Canis lupus familiaris: one gene and its partners. The protein of the gene in region 1 interacts with the protein of each later gene in a pairwise test. Links are inferred from orthologs where the notes say so. Each region holds a gene or a part of one and is shown in the gene's direction. Other genes may lie near its edges.

The links.
Region 2: the proteins of TNS2 (region 1) and CRKL interact in a two-hybrid assay, tested with the Homo sapiens proteins (2 studies listed by BioGRID and IntAct). The link is inferred for Canis lupus familiaris from reciprocal best matches to the Homo sapiens genes TNS2 and CRKL.
Region 3: the proteins of TNS2 (region 1) and keratinocyte proline-rich protein interact in binary tests that used the Homo sapiens proteins (3 or more experiments, as listed by UniProt). The two-hybrid records come from large-scale screens. The link is inferred for Canis lupus familiaris from reciprocal best matches to the Homo sapiens genes TNS2 and KPRP.

The regions. Positions count from the first base shown.
Region 1 is NC_049248.1:44,535,772-44,539,515, forward strand, and holds the start of TNS2 (tensin-2), read left to right. Parts: upstream 1-1,196; 5' UTR 1,197-1,949; coding exon 1,950-2,279; intron 2,280-2,362; exon of another isoform or gene 2,363-3,159; coding exon of another isoform or gene 3,160-3,234; intron 3,235-3,744. UniProt on the Homo sapiens protein: Tyrosine-protein phosphatase which regulates cell motility, proliferation and muscle-response to insulin. Phosphatase activity is mediated by binding to phosphatidylinositol-3,4,5-triphosphate (PtdIns(3,4,5)P3) via the SH2 domain.
Region 2 is NC_049247.1:30,747,049-30,750,792, reverse strand, and holds the start of CRKL (crk-like protein), read left to right. Parts: upstream 1-958; 5' UTR 959-1,491; coding exon 1,492-1,802; intron 1,803-3,744. UniProt on the Homo sapiens protein: May mediate the transduction of intracellular signals.
Region 3 is NC_049238.1:62,243,302-62,247,045, forward strand, and holds the start of keratinocyte proline-rich protein, read left to right. Parts: upstream 1-1,189; 5' UTR 1,190-1,197; coding exon 1,198-1,214; intron 1,215-2,676; coding exon 2,677-3,744.

The DNA.
Region 1 (3,744 bases):
CAGCTCCAGCTCCAGATTTAGCTCCAGCTCCAAGCGCAGGCTCCAGCTCCAGCAGCTCCAACTCCAGCCCCGGCTCCAGCTCCAGCCCCTGCTCCAGCCCCAGCTCCAGCTCCAGATTTAGCTCCAGCTCCAGCAGCCCCAGCTCCAGCCCCTGCTCCAGCCCCTGCTCCAGCTCCAGCTCCAGCCCCAGCACCAGCCCCAGCACCAGCCCCGGCTCCGGCGCCCCCTCCAAGCGCCGAGGGCTGCTGGGCCGCCGGGGGTCCCAGGGGTCCCGGGGTCGCGGCCTGGGCCCCGGGGCGGCCCGGGGCGTCCTCGTCTGCCTGGGGCGCGGGGACCCGGGGCCCTCGGAACCGTGTGCGCGGCCTTCCGGGCTCGGCCGCCGTGTCCCGCGCTCCGCCGGGCGGCCTTCCCGTCCCCGCGTCCCTCCGCGGCCCGAGCCCCGGGAGAAGGCGGGGAGCCGGGAGGGAGCGGGCGGGGGGAGGGGCGGGGAGCGGGGGAACGTGGGGATTGGAGCCCGACGGAGGGAGGGGAGGGCGGCGCGAGGGCGGCGCGGGGCGCGGGCCGGGCGGGAGCGGGCGAGCGCGGCGTCGGCGGGGCGCGGGCCGGGCGGGATGGGCTGGCCCGGGGGCTCCCCCTGCTGCTGCCCCGCCCCCCCGGCGCGCCCCCGCCCCCCCGGGCGCCCCCCGCAGGTGAGTGGCCGCGCCGCGCGGGCGGGAGGGCGGCGGCCCGGGCGTCACGGAGGCCGGGCGGGGCCGGGGCCCTCGGGAGGCGGGGACGGGGGGATGGGGACGGGGATGGGGACGGGGACGGGGATGGGGACGGGGGGCCATGGGCCGGGGATGGGGACATGGGGACGGGGATGGGGACGGGGATGAGGACGGGGATGGGGACGGGGACCGAGGGCCGCGGGCAGCCGGGAAGGGGAGCAGGGGGCGGGGCGCGGCCCGCGCTCACACGGCGGTCCCCCGTCCCCCTGCCCCCCGTCCCCCGTCCCCCTGCCCCCCCCGTTCCCCGTCCCCCTGCCCCCGCGTCCTCCGTCCCCCCGTCCCGCGTCCCGGCCCCGCGGCCCACCCGGGCCCCCGCGCGCCGCAGCCGCCTCCCCGCCCTCTCCCTCCCCGGGCCTCACCCCTCCTCCGCGGCGGGCTCGCGGCCTCTCCTCCAACCACAGCTATTTCCAGGAAGGGGGAGTGTGGGTGGAGGGGTTTCTCCAAACAAACCCGAGGCTTGGGAGTGAGAGGGGGGCCGGGCCGGGGAGAGACTGGCCGGCTCCGGAATGTTCCAGGCAGCAGGAGGGTGAGGGTCCCAGGGGTCTCTGCCCTGAGCGCCCTCCCCCTCCACCCTGGCTCTCCCATCCCCATCGCCCCGCCAGTGGGGAGGGACCCAAGCCGCTTCCCCGCCACCGATCCAGGGGTTAGGGAGCCCCCCAGAGGGAACCACCAGGTGAGGGGACTTCTCAGGCCCTCTGGGGGCGGCAGGTGTAGGGAGAAGGGGGTTCCTAATCAGGGGCCCCCCCAACCTAGCCACCACCACAGTGCTCCTCCTCCCTGCAGCTCCACTGTGACCCAGACCAGGCCGGGCCCAGTTGCCCACACTGGCCGGGGCCCTGGAATGTCCCGGGGCCCAGCCGGGGTTGGTGGGATGGGAGTGGGTTTGCACAGCCAGTGCCCCTCTCCAGTTACACGCTAGGGACCCAAGCCTGGCCACAGAGCTACCTCCGGGCCAAGGTACTCTGGGGACAGACTTCCTGACCTGGAAGGGGAATTAGAGCTTCAAAGGCGAAGCCTCAGCCCAGACCCCTGCCAGGCAGGCCCTAAATAGTGTCCTGAGTGGACTCTGAAGGGGGCTCGTCCCAGAGGAGGCAGGATTAAACCAGCCCTCGGGCACGAAGGCAGGAGAAGCCTAAGGACCTGGTGGGAGAAGCCCGAGCTCTGGTACATTCAGTAAATTCCATGCAAATGAGGGAGGCACATTGGCACATTCTTCCAAGTGACAGCTCCAGCCAGCCTAAGGGCTGCCGGCCAAGGCTTAGGCCTGAGGACCCCGTGGCCCTTAACCCCATATATTTTTGGCAGATCACTCCCCCCACACACACCCACTTCCAAGGCCCCAATCCACCTCCTTCCCTGACTCCCGGGACAGGAAGTTGGCCCTGTTCCCAGGAGGGAGGCAGGAGGCCCACGGAGGGGGTTGGAGCATGTGTTGGGAGGGGGCCTCCTGTCCAGTCCTTAGGCCTGGGACAGCTGCTGAGCAAGGAGAGCAGAGCTAGGAGGGCCATGAAGGTAGTACTCAGGCTGGGGCGGGGGGGAGGGGGCAGGGCCCAGCCCTAGGGCCTGGGTGGGGGGCTGACACAGCAGCCTGGGAAGAGGGGCTGAGGGGCCGGGAGGTCTGGCCGGAAGAGGCCAAGGAATGGGGGCGCGGGGCAGGGTGTGGGGAGGACATGGGGACTGTCAGGAACAGAGCAGCAGGGTGCTCTCAGGAGAAGGCCTTGGTCTGGAGCTGAAGGCTCATCTTGGGGCGAATTAGGCCTTCCAGTGGGGGAGGGGGAGGGGGAGGAGGCCTACTTCCCAACCAGGGGAACTGAGGCAGGAAGCTGCCCCTCAGGAGGACTCCCGATGCTGGGCTGGCTGGGGCAGTGTTCCCAGCTCCCCCTTCCTCCCCACCAGAGGTCCCCTGAGAGCCCGACAGTCCAGGCTGGGAGGCTGGCCTGACGGGGACACAGCGTTCCCCACTGGCCCTTGAGCCCTGCCCTGAGACCTGAATCCTCACCCTGCCCCCACGCGCCCCACGGAAGGTGGGGGCTGGATCTCAGGATCCTTGTAGATCCCTGGACAGGGTGGATCCCTGCAAGGAGCAGCTCCAGAGCAAGGGGACCGGGGGCCAAAGATCCAGGACAGACACTCCCAGCAGGGTAGATCCTGGGAATCTGATCTCCTGGCCTCCCCCACATCCTCCCCCCCCCACTTCCTGGAGCAGCGACCTGCCCCTTTCCCGCCTGCACTCCCCTCCACTTCCAGGGCCGGGCTTCTCCTCACACCAGCCAGACAGCCTGCCCTCCACCCAGGGGAAGCAGCTGCCTCCGCCAGGCCGCTTCCAGGAAGCCCCGGGCCGGGCCCCAGCATTGTTCGGGCCCGCGGTCGGCGCCCCAGCCCGCCGGACACCATGAAGTCCAGCGGCCCCGTGGAGAGGCTGCTCAGAGCCCTGGGGAGGAGGGACAGCAGCCGGGCCAGCAGCAGGGTAGGAGTGCCCGCTGGCGGGGAGGAGGTGTGGGCAGCGGGACGGGACCAGGACTGGGCCAGACCCTGCCCGCGCCCTCCCGGCTCTGCCGCTCTGGGGCTCTGCCTCTGGAGCGGCGGGGCTGTGCGCGAGCAGCACAGTCTGGATCAGAGCAGACCCCGCGTCCACCCCGCTCCACCCCGCGTCCACCCCGGCTCCGCCGACCTCCCGGCCCGAATTCAGGCCGGCCTGGGGATCCCCGCCCCCTAGAGCTGCACTGGGTATACTTCACTGTGGGACCTCTCCAGGCACTATCCTGGAGCCCCAGAGCAGGATATCAAGCCCCTTCCCTGAACCTAAGAAGTTTGGGGGAAATGGGGTGGAAGTGGCAAAGGGAGGGGGCGCGGCGGCCAGGTCTGGAACGTGCTTTAGATTCTGGGGCTTTGCCTGCCCTTGACATCATCCGTGCATGCTGTTAATGCCAAGATGCACCCCACTCTCCTGACAGGTCCAGCAAGGCTGGTCCGGAGA
Region 2 (3,744 bases), on another chromosome or scaffold:
TGCTACCAATAATCGGGCACCAATAGCCTGAGGATTTTTTTTTTTTTTTCAAAAGTCAATTCATTCAACAAATATTTGAGCATCAGGTCAGGTCCAGACCTTGTGCTAGGCCCAGAAGCGAGCAAGACAGACAAGATCCCTGATCTCTTAAAATTTCATCGCGGGGAGGGGAGGCAGGGTGGAGAAACAGGCCACCACGACCGGCCGAAGCAGGTCAGCCAGGGGGCGGGCATGCGAGGAGATTAGCTCGAGAAGCTGCAGAACTGGAGCCGGACGAGATCTTCGGGCCACACCCGGGGGAGTCCGCATTTCATCAGTTAAACGCTAATGATGGCCAGATTGCACCAAAAGGTGGACTTCCTCGGGCCACTCAATCCTGTCGCTCCGACCTTCGCAACCCCTTTTTGCGGCTGTCGAGTTTCCCGGCCACTCTGGGTCCCTGAGCCTATCAGGCCACCTCGGCTTTGGTCACGTCAGCCCCCGCGGTCGCGTCCTTCCAGAGCCACCTCGACCCACCGAGGCGTGTCCGCCCGCGGGTCTCCCTCAGCGCGGGTCCCCCGGGGCCCCTGGGCCAGCCAGGTCACCTCAGTGCCACGCCTCCACGGCCAGAGGTTCTGCATGCACGTTCTGCTTTGTTCGCGGAGCAGGTTTTCGAAACGCCGCTCCCTCTCGACTCCAGCTGTTTTCCAGCCGGAGCTGGGGGGGAGCCCGCAGCGGCAGCGCCCCCGGCGGCGCACCGCAGCCCAGGAAGGGAGTGGCCGTTACCGCCACCTCCTCCTCCGCCGCCTCTACCTCCTCGCCTCCCCCGCTTCCCCGGCCGCCTCCGCCTCCTCCCGGAACGCGGGAGCGGCGGAGCGCGGCGCACGCCCCGACCGTCACGACCGCGCTCCTGATTGGCCGCGCCGCGCGACGTCACGGGGCGGGCCTGGGCGGCAGCTGAGAGCCAGAGCTCGCGCGTGCGCAGACCGAGCGCGCTGAGCGGAGGGGGAGGTGGCCGGCCGCTTGTCCCGCGTCCGCCATTTTGTTGCTGTGGCTCTTGGGAACGGGCTGGGCGAAACCGCCCCGGAGGCGCGACGCTCCTGGGAGTCCGGTGCTTCGCGTGGCGGCGGGTATCAGTGCAGAGCCGTGGGGGGCGCGGAGTCGCGCGTTCCGGGCCAGGAGTGGCTGGAGGCACCCCCGGTACGCCGGGCAGCCCCAGAACCCCGGGGCGGCCTCCGCTGCGGCTCAGCTTCGCCCGCCCCGACCTCGGGCTGTGCCCTGCATTCCCCGGGCCGGCTCCGTCCGTGAGGCGGCCCCGGAGCAGGCGGGCGGCGGCAGAGGATGCTGCGGGCCCGGAGCCGAGACGAAGGTGCTGGCTCGGCCCTCTAAGCGCGCCTCGAGGTGTGCCAAGAGGCCCTTCCTTGGCCGCAGAGCCGTCTGTCGGGCGAAGGCGTCCAGAACAGCCGAGAGCAGCCGCCGCCCCGAGTCGCCGCAGAGCCCCGGCCAGACACCATGTCCTCCGCCAGGTTCGACTCCTCAGACCGCTCCGCCTGGTACATGGGGCCGGTGTCTCGCCAGGAGGCGCAGACCCGGCTGCAGGGCCAGCGCCACGGAATGTTCCTAGTTCGCGATTCCTCCACCTGCCCTGGGGATTATGTGCTGTCGGTGTCCGAGAACTCGCGGGTCTCCCACTACATCATCAACTCGCTGCCCAACCGCCGTTTTAAGATCGGGGACCAGGAGTTTGACCACTTGCCGGCCCTGCTGGAGTTCTACAAGATCCACTACCTGGACACCACCACCCTAATCGAGCCCGCGCCCAGGTACGCGAGCGCCCGCACTCCCCGCGCGCACAGCCCCCCTCGGACCGCGGCGGAGGGTCGAGAACAGCAGGGGCTGGTTCGCGGGGGATCGACCGCCGGGTAGGGGGTGGGGGGAGCGGGATTGAACTCCTTTCACCCCATTCTGAACCAAATTGTTTTCCAGAAGGCATTCTGATCGGAAGGCTAGTGCCAGGGTCTGGGTTGTTGGATGAGGGGATGGGTTTTAAACCTGTGTAACGGCGGTTGCCTGGTTAAAATGCCCGCTTTGTGCCGTTCGTCACATTATCTATTGGGTTATCCTAATCGAGACGTTTTTGTTGTTTTTAAGCCTTTTTTGTTTTGTTTTGTTTTTTTTTTTGAGAATCTCAGGGCAGCTGTGGCGTTCTCCCTCCGTAAAAATGCACGTACACACAACTTTGCACACCGTTCAAGGTTCTTGGGCTCCCTGCTCCAGTTTAAGAACTCTTGGACTGCAGCCTTTGGAATAATCGACAAATGAAAATGCTTGAGCGTTTAGGAACAAAACCTTTCACAGTGAAGTGGCGGAACTATGTAGGATACCTTGGTGCTAAATTTGAATTACCTAGACACCTTTTGTTTTATAACTAACACATTTTATTTTATTTTATTAAAGATTTTATTTACTTATTCATGAGAGACACAGAAAGAGAGAGGCAGAGACACAGGCAGAGGGAGAAGCAGGCTCCATGCAAGGAGCCTAATGTGGGACTCAAACCCGGGAACCCGGGATCACACCCTCAGCCAAAGGCAGGCGCTCAAGCGCTGAGCCACTCAGGCATCCCAACTAACAGAAATTTTAAGAAGATGATGCATTGGCTTTAGCGAGGACGCATTTTTTTTTTTTAATTTTTATTTATTTATGATAGTCACAGAGAGAGAGAGAGGCAGAGACATAGGCAGAGGTAGAAGCAGGCTCCATGCAGCGGGAGCCCGACGTGGGATTCGATCCCGGGTCTCCAGGATCACGCCCTGGGCCAAAGGCAGGTGCCAAACCGCTGCGCCACCCAGGGATCCCCGAGGACGCATTTTTTGAGTTTTTATTTTATAGTTTATCCCCAGGGTGGACCATTAATAGGCCAGAAATGTATTTGATTATATTCTAAAGAAGAATGAAGCTAGGATGTAAATTACTAAGGAAATTTTTGAGCGATACTTTAATTCTGTCCTAGTTTAATTTTAGGTATACCTTTTGTACATTTGTAAGTTTAATAATTTAAAGCAAGCAGCATTCTCTTTTCTAAGTAAATGCATTATTTTATTTGATTACTTGCTTTAATTTGTCTTTAGTATTTTTTCACGTTTCTTTTATTTAAATTATGTCAAATTTGAACTGAAGAAATTGCTTGGAATTTTTTTTTAAATAAAAAGTATTTTGCTGTCCATTTTGGTTCTTGAACTTATGTTTAAAAGGAATAGGCTGCCGGGATCCCTGGGTGGCGCAGCGGTTTGGCGCCTGCCTTTGGCCCAGGGCGCGATCCTGGAGACCCGGGATCGAATCCCACATCGGGCTCCTGGTGCGTGGAGCCTGCTTCTCCCTCTGCCTGTGTCTCTGCCTCTCTCTCTTTCTCTCTGTGTGACTATCATAAATAAATAAAAATTTAAAAAAAAAATTTTTTTTTAAAAAAGGAATAGGCTGCCGATATAGATTTTTTTTTTTTTTTTGGAATGACCTGTTTCTGATTTTATAGATTTGCTGATAAGATGTTGCACTGAGCTTTAACCATTAAAAGCTATAATAATTAAGGAGCACCCACTGGATGCCTAAGTGTTGCTTCTGTGGAGTAAGAGAGAAGAAACAAAGCCATGACAGTATAATGACTATAAGATTAACTGCTGAACTAAATGGACTTTAAAAACTGGGAGAAAGTGATTATAAATCAAATAGTGTTATAACAAAGGCCTAAGCACCAAGAATCTGATT
Region 3 (3,744 bases), on another chromosome or scaffold:
GCCTAAGTAAAATAATAAAAAGAAACTTATATTGTGCATTGCATCACAGATATATTATAGAATGGTGGAGAATTGTAGAACATATAAGTATATGTAGAACATAAAAGTATATGCCCTAAGAGAGGAATTATTAATTTTCAGGTTTATGGAAATTAGGCTCACGTTTGCCACATCTTTTGATTTAGAAGAAAAGCTGGATGTCTAGAATCTTAAGTATAATTTCTCTATTTCTAAATTGTTAATGATCACTTACTAAATTATATAAGCAAAAATTATGTAGGCAAAAGATAAAAAGATGTCTCATCCTGACTGTATCTTGGGATGCCAAGTTAGTGTGTCTGTCCTACACTATGCTGTCTTTAAACCCTATACCGTAGCATTAGCTGAGCACCGGCTATAAAGCCATCAGGTTGCTCAGCTTAGGAGTAGGAGGAAATGCTGTGCCTGGTTGCTTATGGTTAACATTTATTCTGAGTAGATGTTGGATATTTTGAGTATCATTCTTGGCTGGATTCTTTTACATAAAATAATTGCCTTAACCCTCACAACAACTCTGGAAAGAAGGCTTAATTATCTTTATTTTCAGTTGAGTAAATTAATACTCCTGTTGGTTTTAAAGGTCACTCAGCTGTAAGTAGCCAACCTAGAATGTTAACTTCAGCTCTGACCATGTTCTCTTCGTTCTGTAGAGATGCCTCTATCTTTGAGGTGACTTTAATTGCTTCAAGTTGGGGAACTTTTCCTCTTTTATATTTATCTGATGAAAATCTGAGATAAGGAGGAAGTCAGGGGCCTGGAATCATCTTTCAGGACAAAAGATAGCTTTGCCACCCCTTATCATCCCCACCACTAGATCTCCTAGGGATGGGGGAGAGACTTATAGGGGAAGAAGGAGGAAGAAAACAAGAATCTGCTCCTTCAGAGTCAAGAAGCTTTGACATTGAAGTGAGATACTCCCACATTCTGTAGGTGACTGCAAGGTCAGGCATACAGGGAGGGGACTGCTGCTGGAATGCTAACCTGGGTGATGAGCCAGGCAGATGCCAATAAGCTGTCTCATGGATTAAGCCAGGCCCAGAGCTCTTTATATAAAGACAGCCCTCTGCCCAGATCCTTCAGCCTGAATGTCTGCTTGCTGTGAGGAGGGTGAGTCTAGGGGTTGGGTCCCGGGATTGGGCTAGAGATGCATCTCAGGGGATGCCCAGATTCACAAGGTAAGGCATGGTGGGAGGTGGGGGAGCTTCAAGCACCTTCCAGGAAGTGCTTGAAGGAAGAGTGATACATAAACCTGAGGAGAAATGTCTGGTAGACTTTTAGGAGATATAATAAGAATATTTGTGGAGTTTGTGCAAAGAACTGAGGGCCTGAAGTCAGTGTATTTGCCTTTGATAATAGTGGTCTCCTCCTCAAGTAGCATTTTCCCACATCAGGATCTCTTTTCCTGGAAAAGATGCATTTACACCTTATGAGCAGAGTTGTGTGTCAGGGGGTTACTTTCCCTAAGGGCATGTGTTTGTAGATATTCTCTATAAATGGAGAATGGAAGGCTTTGCTTTTCATTAGAAGCATTTTCAGTATTTCTGGAGCCTATTGAGAAGTGTTTTGTTGGGTGAATTAATTGTTAAATCAGCCACCCTGCTATGCCAGTCACAGGGCTGCCTGTATACAAACAGATGAATTTAGGGAGGGCAGAGGAATGGAGATTGCTTCTGTTTCTCCCTGGATAAGTGTCATGTTGGGGTATGCTTGTATCCCCCAAATCACGTTTGTATGCTTCTGCTGTGCAGGGTTTTATGTGTGGCTGAACGTCAGTCAGTCTTGTGATTTAGGAATCTTGCACTTTCTGGGTTACCCCATCTAGGCACTCATTCCTTGCCTTTACGAGGAGCTAAGGAGAAAACATTTCTGAAGTAGCAGGTTGTCCCATGTCAGATAATTTAGAACAGCAACCTGCCTGGGCAGATTGCCATGTTGGTTCTGAGCCTTTCCAAGGCTGGCATGTTTTGTCTGTGTGTGTTTTGCATATGTCTATGAGGGTTGTTTAAAGAAATTCACCTAAAAAGATTGAATGTGGAGAAACAAACATTTATATTGGGTTTGAGCTGTGCAATAATGGACTGGATCCTTTACTTTTCAGTGGGTGCTTCGGGCACAGATGGAACCTGAACACTTACTCCCACCTGCTCGTTTTTACATGTTTGCACTTGTATGTGTCACCAGTGTATGTATGTGAGGATATCCAAGCTCCTGTGGGTGTGGAGACCCCACTTTGGGCTACAGCCTCCGAAGCAGTGTTATCTCTACCTCCTGTAGAGTGCTCTCCTGCCACTTAGGACAAGGAATCCTAAGGTCTTCAACACACTCTGTGTTAGACACTCTGTGCTGAATGAAGCCCGGGACTGACGCAGGGGGGTGCAGTTGCACTCTGTGCCCACCCTCCAAGGGGAGACTCTGGATGCCTACAACTGTGGCTGTGCCTTTGAAGCTCCCTTAGATCAGGACAGGTCTCAGTGGCAGTGGTGACTAATAATGGATCCCTCTAACTCAGTAAGTGTTTTTGGGTAAAGGTTGATAGTTGGGGAGGAAAGTATAGGGAAGAAGCAGTGTCTTTCCCTTGGTCCTAGATCCTTCTCCCCCAACAACTCATCCTCCTAACACTGATCTTTCTACTGTCAGGTCTCACTCACCTGCCTTCATCAGAACCATGTGTGACCAGCAGCAGATTCAATGTTGCCTGCCGCTTCCCCAGTGCTGTGTGAAGGGTTCCTCTTTCTACTCCTCCAAGTCGCCCAGTGCCAACAGCCAGGTGGTAGTCCAAGCCCCTCGTGAGATGCAAATTATAGAGTGTCCTGCACCATGCCCAGTTCAAGTTTCCCAGGTGAAGTGCCAGGCTTCGAGCCAGTCTAAGACCACCCAGGTGAAGTGCCAGGCCCCATGCCCATCTAAGACCGCCCAGGTGAAGTGCCAGGCTCCATGCCCATCTAAGACCACCCAGGTGAAGTGCCAGGCTCCATGCCAGTCTCAAATTTCCTCTGTTCAAAGCCAGGCCCTATGCCAGCCTGAGGTTTCCTATGTGCAGTGTGAAGGTCCATGCCCTGTTCAGACGTGTTATGTAGAATGTGCTCCAGTTTGCTATACAGAAACTTGTTTTGTGGAATACCCAGTCCAGAACTTTGTACCCTGTCCAGCTCCTCAGCCTGTCCAGACTTATGTGGCTTGTCCCTCAGTTTCCCAAACTCAGGGGAAATTCTCCACCCAGCGTCAGTATCAAGGTTCTTATGGCAGATACGCCCTGCAGGGTCAGTCCCCAGCTTCCTACAACAATTGCACCCCCCAGTTCCAATCCAGGACCGCCTACAGCAACTGCGCCCCCCAGCGTCAGTCCCGGGCTTCATTCAGCACTTGTGCACCCCAGTGCCAGGCCCGAGGCTCTTATGGGAGCTTCTCCTCTCAGCGCAGCCGCTCCCAGAGCACCAGCAGGTGCCTCCAGCCTGGCCCGCTGCAGCCTCTCTACCGCAGCTGTTCCCCACCACGAAGGTCTGAGCCCTTCCACAGCCGCTGCCTGCCATCTGCGTGTTCTTCGGGCTCCTATAACTACTGCACCCCACCACGCCGCTCTGAGCCCATCTATAGCAGTGGCTGCCCGCGGGGTCCTTCCTCAGGCTGCGCTGGGAGATGTGGTCCCAAGTGTCGGATAGAGATTTCCTCCCCCTGCTGCCCCAAGCAGGTGCCCCCGCAAAAGTG